Notamacropus eugenii: one gene and its partners. The main gene of each other region encodes a partner of the protein of the gene in region 2 in a complex. Links are inferred from orthologs where the notes say so. Each region holds a gene or a part of one and is shown on either strand. Other genes may lie near its edges. The genes, in order: CHTOP, ALYREF and THOC1.

Region 1 (3,744 bases), about 52 Mb from region 2:
TTTGTTAAAGGTCACACAGTTACTAAGATTTTTAGGTGAGACTCCACTGAGGTCTGACTTTAAGTCAGGCTCCCTAAACAAACACCTCTCATCTGAGAATTCTGGGAGGTTAGGTGACCTAAGGTCACAGTCAGTGGCTCCTTGAACCCAGGCTTTCCTGACTCAAATGGCTTATCTATCCACACCCAGAGGAGCCTTCATGTTGAACATTTTTTGGCCTGGACTTAATGATTCCACTGGTATAGAGAGCTATCAGTAATGAGGCTCCCTCTACCAAGGCAGGTTTACCCCTGCCTTAACTTAAAGAAAAAAATCTTAAGAGAGCTGCCCAGGGCACTGAAATTAAATTACTTGCTCAAAGTTATAGAGCCAGAATGTCAGAGGCAAGACCTGAATTTGGATCTTTTCAACCCAAAAGTGTATTCTCTATCTACTACGTAATGCTTGCCTCTCATGGTGAATATTAATCTTAACAGTTTAAAAAAGAAACACCTCCCCACTAGTTTGCTCTGTCCCATACTGTAATTTACCTTCCATTTAATTAAAGGAACCCCATAAAAAATTTTAACAGAAATCTTTATGGTGTTATATTTTAACAGCTTTACTTTCCTGGGCTTAAAATGGCTTCCCTCCTAATTACCCCAAGTGAATCTTCTTGAAAAAGTCATGCATTAGCGCAACAACTTAGGTTAAGAATGTGATGACACTCCAATGAGTCTCATCTATGAAAGGTCAATATGAACAGGAAAGAACATTTAACAGAAAAAGAAGTAAAAACAAAGCCTAAAGCAGTACTGAAAGATGCAGAGTTGAAGCAAAGAGGGTGCCTCTTACAAGGCCCAAGAACAGCATTCAAGAGCCTTTGGGCTGAGTTTTGGCCTGCTACCTGCCTCTTACAGGCCGGACCACAATCATGTCGGCCTTGGACTGGGCAGCAAGCCTCCTACGGCCAGGGTAACATGCTACTGTGCTGCAGCATCCCCTATATCAATGTAAAAAACATGAAGAAAAAGGGAGGGTGTGAAGTGCTTGAGTTTAAAACACATCCCACCAGGTTAACGGTTCAAATAATTTAACGTACACAGCTACCGATAACGTGTTCTGTAACATTGCCCACTCTGTTTCGCGTACCACAGTATGAGGCGACTTAAGAACAGAGGTCGTTAGCCTTCTGTTGATATTTAAGTTAGCTTTAACTTAAACACTGGGCAGAAACCAAGATGGTTTGAGAACATCGGACCCCGGGGCCAACTTAAGTAAAGCTTCCTTAGGGAGGAGCTGAAGTTTCTGGTGGCTGCCTCACCGCTCATTTAGAGACATCTTGGTGGTGCTCTTTAGCACAACTTTCGGAGCTGACTGTGCAGCCATCTTCAGATCCCGGGAATCTGCAAAGGATAACGGGCGGTTTAAACACAACGGTAAGGATGCCACCCCAGGGGGCCGACACAAGCAGCCGCTGGGAGAGGGACAACGGCCTCGCTAACAGAAGCGGCCGTCCGAGAGAGCGGCGCGACGACACAAAGCGGGGCCCGCAGTGAACAAGGGGGGCCGCCCCGCCGAGAATCCGGGATGGGGGTGCCAGGAGGCCAGCAGCTCATCAAGGAGGGCCCCTCACTGACGGGCACCGATCGGGAGGCGGTGGCAGGACCCTTCCACAACTGCCCCCGAAAGCTTCCATCCCGGCCTTCCTCAGATCGCCTCCGCGGAGCCCTGGGACCCCCAAACCAACTAACACTGCGTACCCAAGCATACATGGCACCCCGACTTCTCTCTCAAACTTGGCGGCCTAAACCTTCCACCGGCCTTTTCTCTCCTCCGTCTCTCCCCCGCTCCCAGCCCCCAGGGTCCCCTTCTCTGGGGCTCCTCGCCCCACCCCCCGTCATTCTTCGGGTGCTGCTCCCCAGCCATGGGGCCCCCAAACGCTCTCCTCCTCCGCCCTCCGTCCTCACCCTCTAGCTCCCTCGGTCGTTCCGCGGCCACGCGAGCTCGTCTTCCCCCCCCCCCCCGCCCCCGCCCATCGCTCGCCTCCCGCAGCGCTTTCTAGTCACGTGACAGGCGCCCCCCGCCCCCCCTTTGGTCGTTCCCTTCTCCCCACCTTACCCCTTCCTCTTCAAGCCCCCCATCCAAGGTTTTTCTTCAGCCCCCCTCCCCCGCCCCAGGCCCCAGGCCCGGCCGCGCACGCGCGCACGCACCAAAGGACACGGACGCCAGCGCTCCGCCGGGGGCCGCCGCTGCCACTGCGGTTGCGGTTGTGGGGCCGGAGACCGGCCGCGCTGGGCTTGTCTGGGGCGGCTGGAGGTGCTGGGCCGAGACCGAGGGTGGTTAGCCGCTTGCGTGACGGGCTGGCTGTTGGGTCCTCGTCCTTTCAGGCCGCCCTCTCGCCCGCTACCGCAACCCACTCCCACTCGGCGACCCGAACAAAATGGCCGCCACGCTTGGAGTGGAATGGCGGTGGCCAAAATGGCGGCGGCGCGTGGACGTTGGTGTGAGACGCGCGCTCGTCGCGAGGGGCGGGGCTGTCGTAGGCCCGGCCCCCGGCGTGGTTGCTAACACGTGTTTCCGGGGGGGAGGAGGGGGGCGGTGACTACCTGGTGCTTTTGTAGACCCAGCGGGCATTTACACTGTACACCCTGGTCTTGTGCCCATCCGACCCTGAAATCCCGGGCTCTGTCAGGTGCCCGCTCCCGGTGCCCCCAGGGTGAGAACAGGTGGCAGCGGTAGACCCGGGTCCTTCCCTCCCCGCCCAGGCTCAGCCCTGTTTTCGCCGCTCACTTGTCCGGGCTGTAACCAGGAGCAGACCGAGGTTTAATCCCAAGCTGCCGTTTATGCTTCCCCGTTTAACCTGTGGCTAATTAGGCACCGCTTTCACTGTGCAGTGACAGTTGGGCTGTAGAAGAGGTCGGGTCTTAACCTGGGCTTCAGAAACTGTTTTAAAAATATTTTGACAATCATTTCAGTGTAAATGGCTGCTTTTGTAATTGTACGCGTTTTGTGCACTTAAACAAGAATTCCGAGAGGGTCGGCCATCTTCACCAGTCAATCGATAAACATTAAGTGCTTGGCGCCAGACTGCCAGATGTAACCAAACAGTTCACAAAGAGAGCTCCTGGATGAAAAACGTTTTAAAAGTCTCAATTCTTGATCTTATTATCCTAAATGATTTTTGGACCTCTATCCCTTCTTAGGGTACAGCTTTACCTTATTAACAACTCAACCTTGATTACATCCTGATGAAGTGGAGGGAGACTCAGGTGATTGATCAGCCCTCTTTACCTGTCTTAGAATCTTAGTCCTTTTCGGAAAGAGGGTTCCTCCCCTTCTCACCTTTCAAAGGGGAAAATGAGGCACACTATACAAGTCTACCCTCCTCCTCCATCGGTCTGGAACCCAAAATATCCAATCTCCAGGGATTTTCAGAAGAGTCATGACCCCTTCCAATAACTGCCCTCAGGCAGAGTTAGCCCTTCTTCTTCACTAACCCCCAAAGGAGACAGACACCACAACTGTTGGGAGAGGAGCCTTTAATGCATAATGGAGCAGTGATCCACAAATGCTATGGTCCAGCCTGGGACAGTAAACTGGGGGAGGCTGAGGGCAGAGAGAGGGCTATGTGGGAGGTGAAGGTGGAAATGGGGGGATGGATGGGGGGAGAGATGGAACAGGGTTATTGGTGCTGGCCAGGGCTGAACTGCTTGCTCAACTGTTCTCCCAGAAGAAGTTGTTGCAGGCCACAGTGAGTGCAGC
Region 2 (3,744 bases):
ACCAACTCCTAGAGAAAACTAAGATTTGAGCCGTCTTGTCTTGGGATGAGAACACGACCGTCACCCCGGTAGGATAAAAGCCCCTTAGGGGCAAGGGTGGTTCCGTTTTGGTTTCTGGATTCCCAGCACCCAACAGGCCCTTAAGAAATGCTTCACCGATTCGAACGGAATCAAGGAGAAAACATGAAAACTAAAGAAATCTCCACTCGCAGCAGGGGAGCAGGGGAGCCCAAATCAGTTTCCTTCTCTTCCTGGGGCGGCCCCGCTTACTCCCCCTCCCCCAGGCTCACGTGACTCCGCCCCCTCCCCAGAATTCCCACCGGGTTCAGGCCTCACACCTAAGGCAAGCCTGGGCTTCAGCCAGCGCAGGACCCAGGTCCCTCCTGAGTTCCCACTTGAGTCAGGGGCTTCCCCCCCACCCCGAGTTCTCACCTCCAGTCACAGTTCTCCCTTGAGTCTAAGCCCCTTCTTTATGCTGCCCCCACCTCCGTCGGGGGCCCCTACTGGACTCCAGGCCCTTCGCTTTACGCGCCCGCTCCCCCGAATTCTCTCGCGCCCCACGGTAGCCCCCGGCCCCGCCCCGCCCCCGCCCCCGGGCTCGCCCCGGCCCCGCCCCCGTCCCCGCTCCCGGGCTCTCTTCTCCTCCCGGGGGCGGCAGGCCCCCTCCCGAGTTATAGCGCCCCCTGCTAGAGTTCACACCTGGGTTCGCGCCTGGCTCCCGGAGCTCGCGCCCTTCCGTTGGCGCCCTCGCGACAAGTACAAAAAGGGCCGCAGGGGTCCGGGCAGCGGCTGTCAGCGTGCGGCCGGAGCAGAGGACGAGCGAGGCTCTGCCGGGAGCTCGGTCCGCCCGCCGAGCGCCGACAACTCGGAGGCAAGCCCAGGCGTCCCGGAAGCGCCCTGAACCTTCGGCCGCGAAGGAAGTGACGTACCGACGTGCTGACGCGCGGGGTTCGTGCCGAGGCCCCGATTCCGCGCCCGCCATGGCCGACAAGATGGACATGTCCCTGGACGACATCATTAAACTCAACCGGAGTCAGCGGGGCGGACGCGGCGGGGGCCGGGGCCGAGGCCGGGCCGGGGCCCAGGGCGGCCGCGGCGGCGGGGGCGCTCAGGCGGCCGCCCGCGTGAGCCGAGGCGGGGGGCCCATCCGGAACAGGCCGGCCATGGCCCGCGGAGGCGCCGGGGGCGGCGGCAGGAACCGACCCGCGCCCTACAGCCGAGTGAGTGAGCCAGCCTGGGGAGAGCGGGAGGCTGGGCCGGGCCTGGGCCGAGCGGGCCGGAGCGGGCCGGCCGAGGAGCTGAGGGGGCTGAGCCCTGGGAGGCCGAGGCGCAGAAGGGGAAAGGCCGGGTCCTTGTGTGGGGGCGTGCGGGGGTGGGGGGGGCTGACCCAGGACCGAGGGATCGCCGACCCTCACCCCCCACCCCCCGGAGGCCTTTTGTTTCTGATGGGCCACCGAGGCCTGGAGCCTCATGGCTACCTTCAGGGCGGGAACTGGGGCCTGCTTGGGGCGGCGGGAACGTGGGGGCGGGAAGGCGACCGCCTGCCCCCCTCGCCCGGGCCAGCGGGAGCGAGAAGGGGGCCCAGGGAAAGGAGAACCCGCCAGGCCCCGGCCGGGTGGGGGGACGACTCGCCGACCTTTGTGTTTGTTTCAGCCGAAGCAGCTTCCAGATAAGTGGCAGCACGACCTGTTCGACAGCGGCTTTGGAGGCGGGGCCGGCGTCGAGACCGGTGGGAAGTTGCTGGTCTCCAATCTGGATTTCGGGGTCTCAGATGCGGATATTCAGGTGAGGAGTGCGGCGGCTCCCGCGGAAGCCCCCTTGTCGGGAGCCAAGTGCACGGCGCGGGGTTCCCCCGACCCCCCACGGGCCTTGCAGGTGACTGGTCCTCATCCCTCCTTCTGGAGCCCAGGCTGTCAGTGGTAAAGCTGAGGGTGCAGTGAGGGCTGCGGGGAACTGGCGTAGGCCGGGATTTTTGCTTCCCAGGCTTCTTGAGGCCGTTCAGAGTGACTGAGCCTGGACAGATTTTTGTGTCGTTCGTTGTTGTGCTGAAAACGCTAGGTTTGAGAGAGGAGGTGTAGCTTCTCTCAGGCTAAAAGAGCAAAGAAGCAGCAGCCTTGTAACCTTAATTGGCTCTTCATCAAAATATGTCCGATGCTCATTCTTCTGGTATAGAAATGGGCATCCACAAAGCACCTGTTTCAGGATTAAGTCAAAAAACAGTGCTCTTTTTTAAAAAATCTAACCTCTTTCCTGTTAAGAAACTCCTTTCCAGGAGTTAAAACTTTGGAGGTTGGAAATGGTTGGGACTGGATGCCAGGCTTTCCTGGGTCCTACTTCCTCGAGCCCAGCCATACGGCTTTGCTGTGGGAGGACAGAGCAAGGCAGACAAGCACTCATGGTGTGTCAACACTTTTTTTAAGGTGGTTTCTGGCATCCACTGGAAACCGCTTTTGGTGAACTCCACTTCCCGCTGTGTGCCTGCGGCCGGAGTATCCCCACACTCTGGGTTCCCTCTCCAACTCCCAGCCTGCCGTGAGGTCAGGGCAGTTTCCATGGCAGCGCTTGACGTCAGACTTTGCGGCAGGCTTGAGTAGGAGGAGAGGGAAACGCAGGTGAGCCAGAATCTGCCTTCTGGGGGTGGGTCTGGGATCAGGTCTATTGAATCAATGGGCCCTTAAATCTGTTACAGTGGCCTGCAAAGCTTCCCTTGCTCTGTGACCTGGAGGTTTTCTTCATTTCTTAGAACACTCTTTTGTTAAGAGTGGTTTTTCTTCCTTGAGAAAAGACAGCCGCTGAATATTATTCCCCTCTCCGCTGGGCAAAGTACTCTTTGGCCCATAGCATCATACAGAGGGCATGCCCCAAAGTTGGCATGACCCGGGACAGGCCCAGCTGCTTTTGGAAGTTGCTGTTCCGCTCTCCCCACCCTCTCCTCCCTAGATGTGTGTTCCCTTCCAGGAACATAACTCCTAATGTAAATATTACTGGGGTCCTCTTCCTTGGACGTTATAGGAGAGAGCCTTGTTAGTCATTTTTCCTTTCTTTCCTGTTTTTAGGAACTATTTGCTGAATTCGGAACTCTAAAAAAGGCAGCTGTACATTATGATCGGTCTGGCCGGAGCTTAGGGACAGCAGATGTTCACTTTGAGCGAAAAGCAGACGCTCTGAAGGCCATGAAACAGTATAATGGTGTCCCTTTGGATGGTAAGTTGAGCCTTCCATCATTGAAGGGCTGGGTGCTACGTTTTGTGGAGTATGGGGCTGTCATCTGCCCGTGTAGGAATATGATTTGCCCACTCTGGCCGAGCACACTTTGCATTTGCCCGCTTTGTCTCTCTCTTCCGTTCTGCCACCTTTCGTGCTGCCCCATACATCTGGACCAACCTCTTGTGACCCCCTCCTTCAGATCCTTCCTGAAGATTCACTTCTGTGAGGCCTTCCCAGAACCACCATAGTACACCTCAAAGAGCGGGGCTATAATGATAAAGAAAAAGGTACTGGATCTTTTTTCCACTAGGTCAGCCAGGTGTATTTCCCTCTTCCACCCATTTCCACCAAAGAAAAAGTTATTGAATATTTACCCAGTTTTAACTTTGTCAAAGAGGAGGTTGGTGGTTTCTCTCTTGCCATTTGTCTTTCTCAAATATTTTCCAGTCTTTTCCCATGTTTGTATTTAGAATGAGACAACAAGGTACCCATCCAGTGTTATTTGCATGGAGCCTAGAACATTGCTAGCAATGTATA
Region 3 (3,744 bases), on a different chromosome or scaffold from region 2:
CGCTTACTGGGAAGTAACTAAGACATAAAAACACATCAAATTTTTTTTTTAAATCACTGAAATAGAAACATCTGGTCACCACAGACTTGTCGGATGACTGCAAACAAAATACCCCCCTGTCCTTTTTCCTGTTGACTCCAAACCCGCTCACCCTTGGTCTCCTGAAGCAACAGGAAAGAGAGAATTCAAGGAAAAAAGAGGACCAACGTACCCCCCACCCCCACCCCAAGCGCCAAACGGCCCAGCAACAGCTCCCCGGACCTACGATCTCCCCGGTGCTGGCACTGCACCCAAGCTACGCCTTGGCGGACCGGCAGTAGCTACGACCCCAACTCCATCTCTCGGGGGTCCCTCCGGTGACGAGGCCCTCCAAGGAGAGGCAGGCTGGGGGCTTCATTCGAATCCAAGCTTTCCCGGCTTGTTAGCGCCCCCCGGGGGACGGGCTTTAGGGACGACTTCGAGAGCCCGGGTCGGGTCACTTCTATGCCCTAGGGAGGCCTCAGGGTGGACGGCGAGCTCAACGGACAAAGGGGCAGCGGGGACAAGAGGGGAGCAGCAGGGTCGCCCCTTCAGGAAGCGCGACAAGGGTGGGCCGGAGGGGGGATTCGCCCACTTTTGCTCCGGCCCGGACCGCGTCCGAGCTCTCCGGCGGCGAACGGGGCTCTGGAGAGGAAGGGGGCGGGCCTCGCGCCACAGGGATCACTGAGGTGCTAACGCGAGAGGGAGACACCTTTTCTCCGAATCCCGCTCGATACCAACGGACAGGATCCGCACAACCACCAGGTGTTCCGGGGCGAGCACAGCCCTCGCGCCACCACCGCTGGCAGAACACGGAAACACCTCCTTCCTTCTGCGGCCGGCGCAGCGATACCGGCCCCTCCGCCAGAGCTCCGCCCCCTCCGCCGACGGCGCATGCGTCCCACACAACCGCCCGGTGCCGCTCTAGCCGCGCAAAGGAGCTCGCTGTGTGCCTGGGACCCTGCGTCATCAGGGGGCGCCACGGCGCGTTAGCGGGCACGCGCAAGCGAGAAGATGTCTCCGTCGCCGCCTCTCTTCAGTTTCCCCGAAGCACAGACTCGGTTTACGGTGAGATGTAGGAAGCGGAGGGGGTGGCCGAAAACCACTTTTTCCCCTTTCTCTCCTCTGCCTTCTCCGTGGTACACCGGCTCTCCCACGGGGAGGAACCCAGAGCAGGGGACGTGTGTACACAGCGGCGTTCTCTACTGGTTTTTTGGGGGGAGGGGCAGGCTACCTGGCCCTTCAGCGCGCGCGTCTCTGCCTCCCCAACCGCGGCAGCATTCCCACTCCCCGCGTGTCCCTCGCGACTCTCGCCACACCTGGTTCCCCACGCAGAGCTCCTCCGCCGCCTCCCCATTGAGGGTAGAGGCGGGAAAGCGCTGGCGCCGGGGGCGGGTGGGTGGTCAGCCTGTGCCTGAGGAGGGAAGACAGTTGAGGGCTGGGGTGGGGGGCTGTCACTTAAACGTGCTGCGTCTGAGAACCCCACAGCTCGCGTCCGCCCCGCGCCAGCGTCGATCGTGAGCTCGGCGGTTCGTTTGCCTTCCTTTCGCTTTTGGCTAAAATCAAGGGTAAATTCCGACTTCCAAAAGTGTGAAGCGTCTGCTGTGTCCTGAGGCACCCTGCTGGGTGCCGGGGGGTAGATGGGACATGACAGGTCATGACACAAAATAACGTGTGAAGTGGGCAGAGGCTGCAGCACGACGCGGGGGAAGTGCTGGGGGAGATCTCCTCGTGGACTGAGAGTGGGTGTGGAGAGGGCCCGCTGGGAAAAACCTGCAGGTGTTCCGCCTAGCTCCGTCGTGACAGCGCTTCACACTCACACCCCCTCCACCCCCCACCCCCACCCCCGGGACTTGGCGCCTGTGTATGTACAATTATGTCAAATTTTCTTTTTACTGGACACTCCCTCCACCGAGGAAGATCCACAGGTATCTTTGCAGGTGAGGACACTGAGGTGTCGGTTCAGCGACTTCTTCATTGTCCCCTCTGGTGGATCAGGATCTCAAACCCAGATCTTATACCTACCTAAACTAGGGCGATTCCCCCCACCATCCCACTGCTTATTTAGCTATTTTCTTCGTTTAATGCTGTTAGATGACTCATACCTGTTGTACAAGATTTGATTGAGTAATTAACATACTTAATTACATGGTCATGTAAATTGGTGCAGAAGTAGGAGCTCTAAAGAAAAAAACTGATCCTTTATGCTGTCACTGTATAAATTTCCTTACATGCTGATGTTTTCTTTGCAAAATGATTTGGGGGAGGGGGGAAATAGTAGATATGACATTGGTGTTATTTTCCATGCGTTCTTTTTTCCAAGTTACTATTTAAAATCGATCCCCTAGTCATTTGTAGTTCTTCTAAGAGGAACCACTTAATCATATTCACTGTCTAGACCTGGTGTGTATCTCCTTTAGAGGTCTTCAAGCAGAGGCTGACTGATCATTTTGTAGGACATATTTTCTGCTGTCAAGTGGACTACATGTCCCAGCTCTCAAATTCTGTGATTTTGTGACATCATCTTATCTACCCTAACCAATGATCCTTTCCCTTATTCGAGCCTCCTCTTTTTCTCAACATAATTTTTTAAAAACCCATTTTGTAGTCCTTAGCATGTTATTTATATACTTACATGTACAGTATAACTCATTCTGTATTTTAATCTTATTCTTATGGGACTAGGTCATTATTTTATATAATCAATTATTTTGGTTGATTGGTTATTTTCCTGTGAATCCACACAGGCTTTTTAGACAATTCTTTTCTCTCTTCATTGCAATCTTTTCTCTTTGTGTCTTCAGCATTTTGTTTTTAAATCCCTTCTGAGCTTTCTCCATAGAATTTTAGGTAAGGGCATTCACTTTCTGAATTCTGAAGTTTGGCTTCTCAAAATCTAAGGTTCATATGAAATTATGATAAGCTTTCTGTTTCCTTAGGAGAAATTCTGAGATGCAGGGATATCCACCTACAAAGTTGCCCTCATTTCTGTTTCAGCAAACTCCTTGTTGGTTAGATTCAAGTCCAGTACCTTGTTGCTTCTACATTTTGATTGGTCAGTAATTTATTAACTTTTTTTCTTTTGGACATCAAGAGAGACAGCTGGAAGATGAACTGATAATTGAAGTCTGTCATCACTACTGTATTATGTGTCAATACCCAGCTTTGACCTATTTCCCAAACTCATTTACTTGCTCCTTCTGTTTAGGTGGTCTGTTGTATCCTCCCATGGCAGTATTACTATTAAGAAGAGATAGAATGATGGTGATGATGACAGAGGAATAAGGGCTATCCAACATTTAATTTGCTTTTGTTTTCTTTGTCAAGGAGAATGGTGTGTGGATTGGAAAGGACAAAACAAAAATGGCTCCTAGAGAGCTGAAAACAAAGAGAAGTAAAGAGATAGAGAGCATCTTGGTACAGAATGTTATACGCTGTCAGCCATGGTGACTTTCATTTGTTTTTGCTTAATTGTTTGTTATAGGGAAGGGTTCAGTGGAAGGGAAAGAGAGTTAATCATTCAGGAATGACTGTGATGTATAAAAATCAATAAAACCCACTTTAAAACCGATCTTGGAGAATAGAAGAGATGCTACAGAAATGGAGAAGGGCAAATACCCTTTCAAGAAAGGGATGAAGGAAGCTGCAAACTATAGGCCATTGTTTGACCTTGACTCCTGGCAAAATTCTAGACATATATTATTATAAAGATGGTTAGTGAACGCC

Evidence for each region.
Region 1: ALYREF (region 2) and CHTOP share a complex: the UniProt entries of both Homo sapiens proteins name them as parts of the transcription/export (TREX) complex. The link is inferred for Notamacropus eugenii from reciprocal best matches to the Homo sapiens genes ALYREF and CHTOP.
Region 3: ALYREF (region 2) and THOC1 share a complex: the UniProt entries of both Homo sapiens proteins name them as parts of the transcription/export (TREX) complex. The link is inferred for Notamacropus eugenii from reciprocal best matches to the Homo sapiens genes ALYREF and THOC1.

Annotation. Positions count from the first base shown.
Region 1 is NC_092873.1:377,600,016-377,603,759, reverse strand, and holds the start of CHTOP (chromatin target of PRMT1 protein), read right to left. Parts: upstream 2,463-3,744; 5' UTR 2,193-2,462; intron 2,071-2,192; exon of another isoform or gene 1,950-2,070; intron 1,386-1,949; 5' UTR 1,369-1,385; coding exon 1,304-1,368; intron 1-1,303. Other genes in the region: S100A1 (protein S100-A1), read right to left, coding at 3,697-3,744. UniProt on the Homo sapiens protein: Plays an important role in the ligand-dependent activation of estrogen receptor target genes. May play a role in the silencing of fetal globin genes.
Region 2 is NC_092873.1:325,989,862-325,993,605, reverse strand, and holds the start of ALYREF (THO complex subunit 4), read left to right. Parts: upstream 1-980; coding exon 981-1,220; intron 1,221-1,653; coding exon 1,654-1,785; intron 1,786-3,056; coding exon 3,057-3,204; intron 3,205-3,744. Other genes in the region: ANAPC11 (anaphase-promoting complex subunit 11), read right to left, coding at 700-1,018. UniProt on the Homo sapiens protein: Functions as an mRNA export adapter; component of the transcription/export (TREX) complex which is thought to couple mRNA transcription, processing and nuclear export, and specifically associates with spliced mRNA and not with unspliced pre-mRNA.
Region 3 is NC_092875.1:244,527,738-244,531,481, forward strand, and holds the start of THOC1 (THO complex subunit 1), read left to right. Parts: upstream 1-988; 5' UTR 989-1,032; coding exon 1,033-1,086; intron 1,087-3,744. UniProt on the Homo sapiens protein: Component of the THO subcomplex of the TREX complex which is thought to couple mRNA transcription, processing and nuclear export, and which specifically associates with spliced mRNA and not with unspliced pre-mRNA.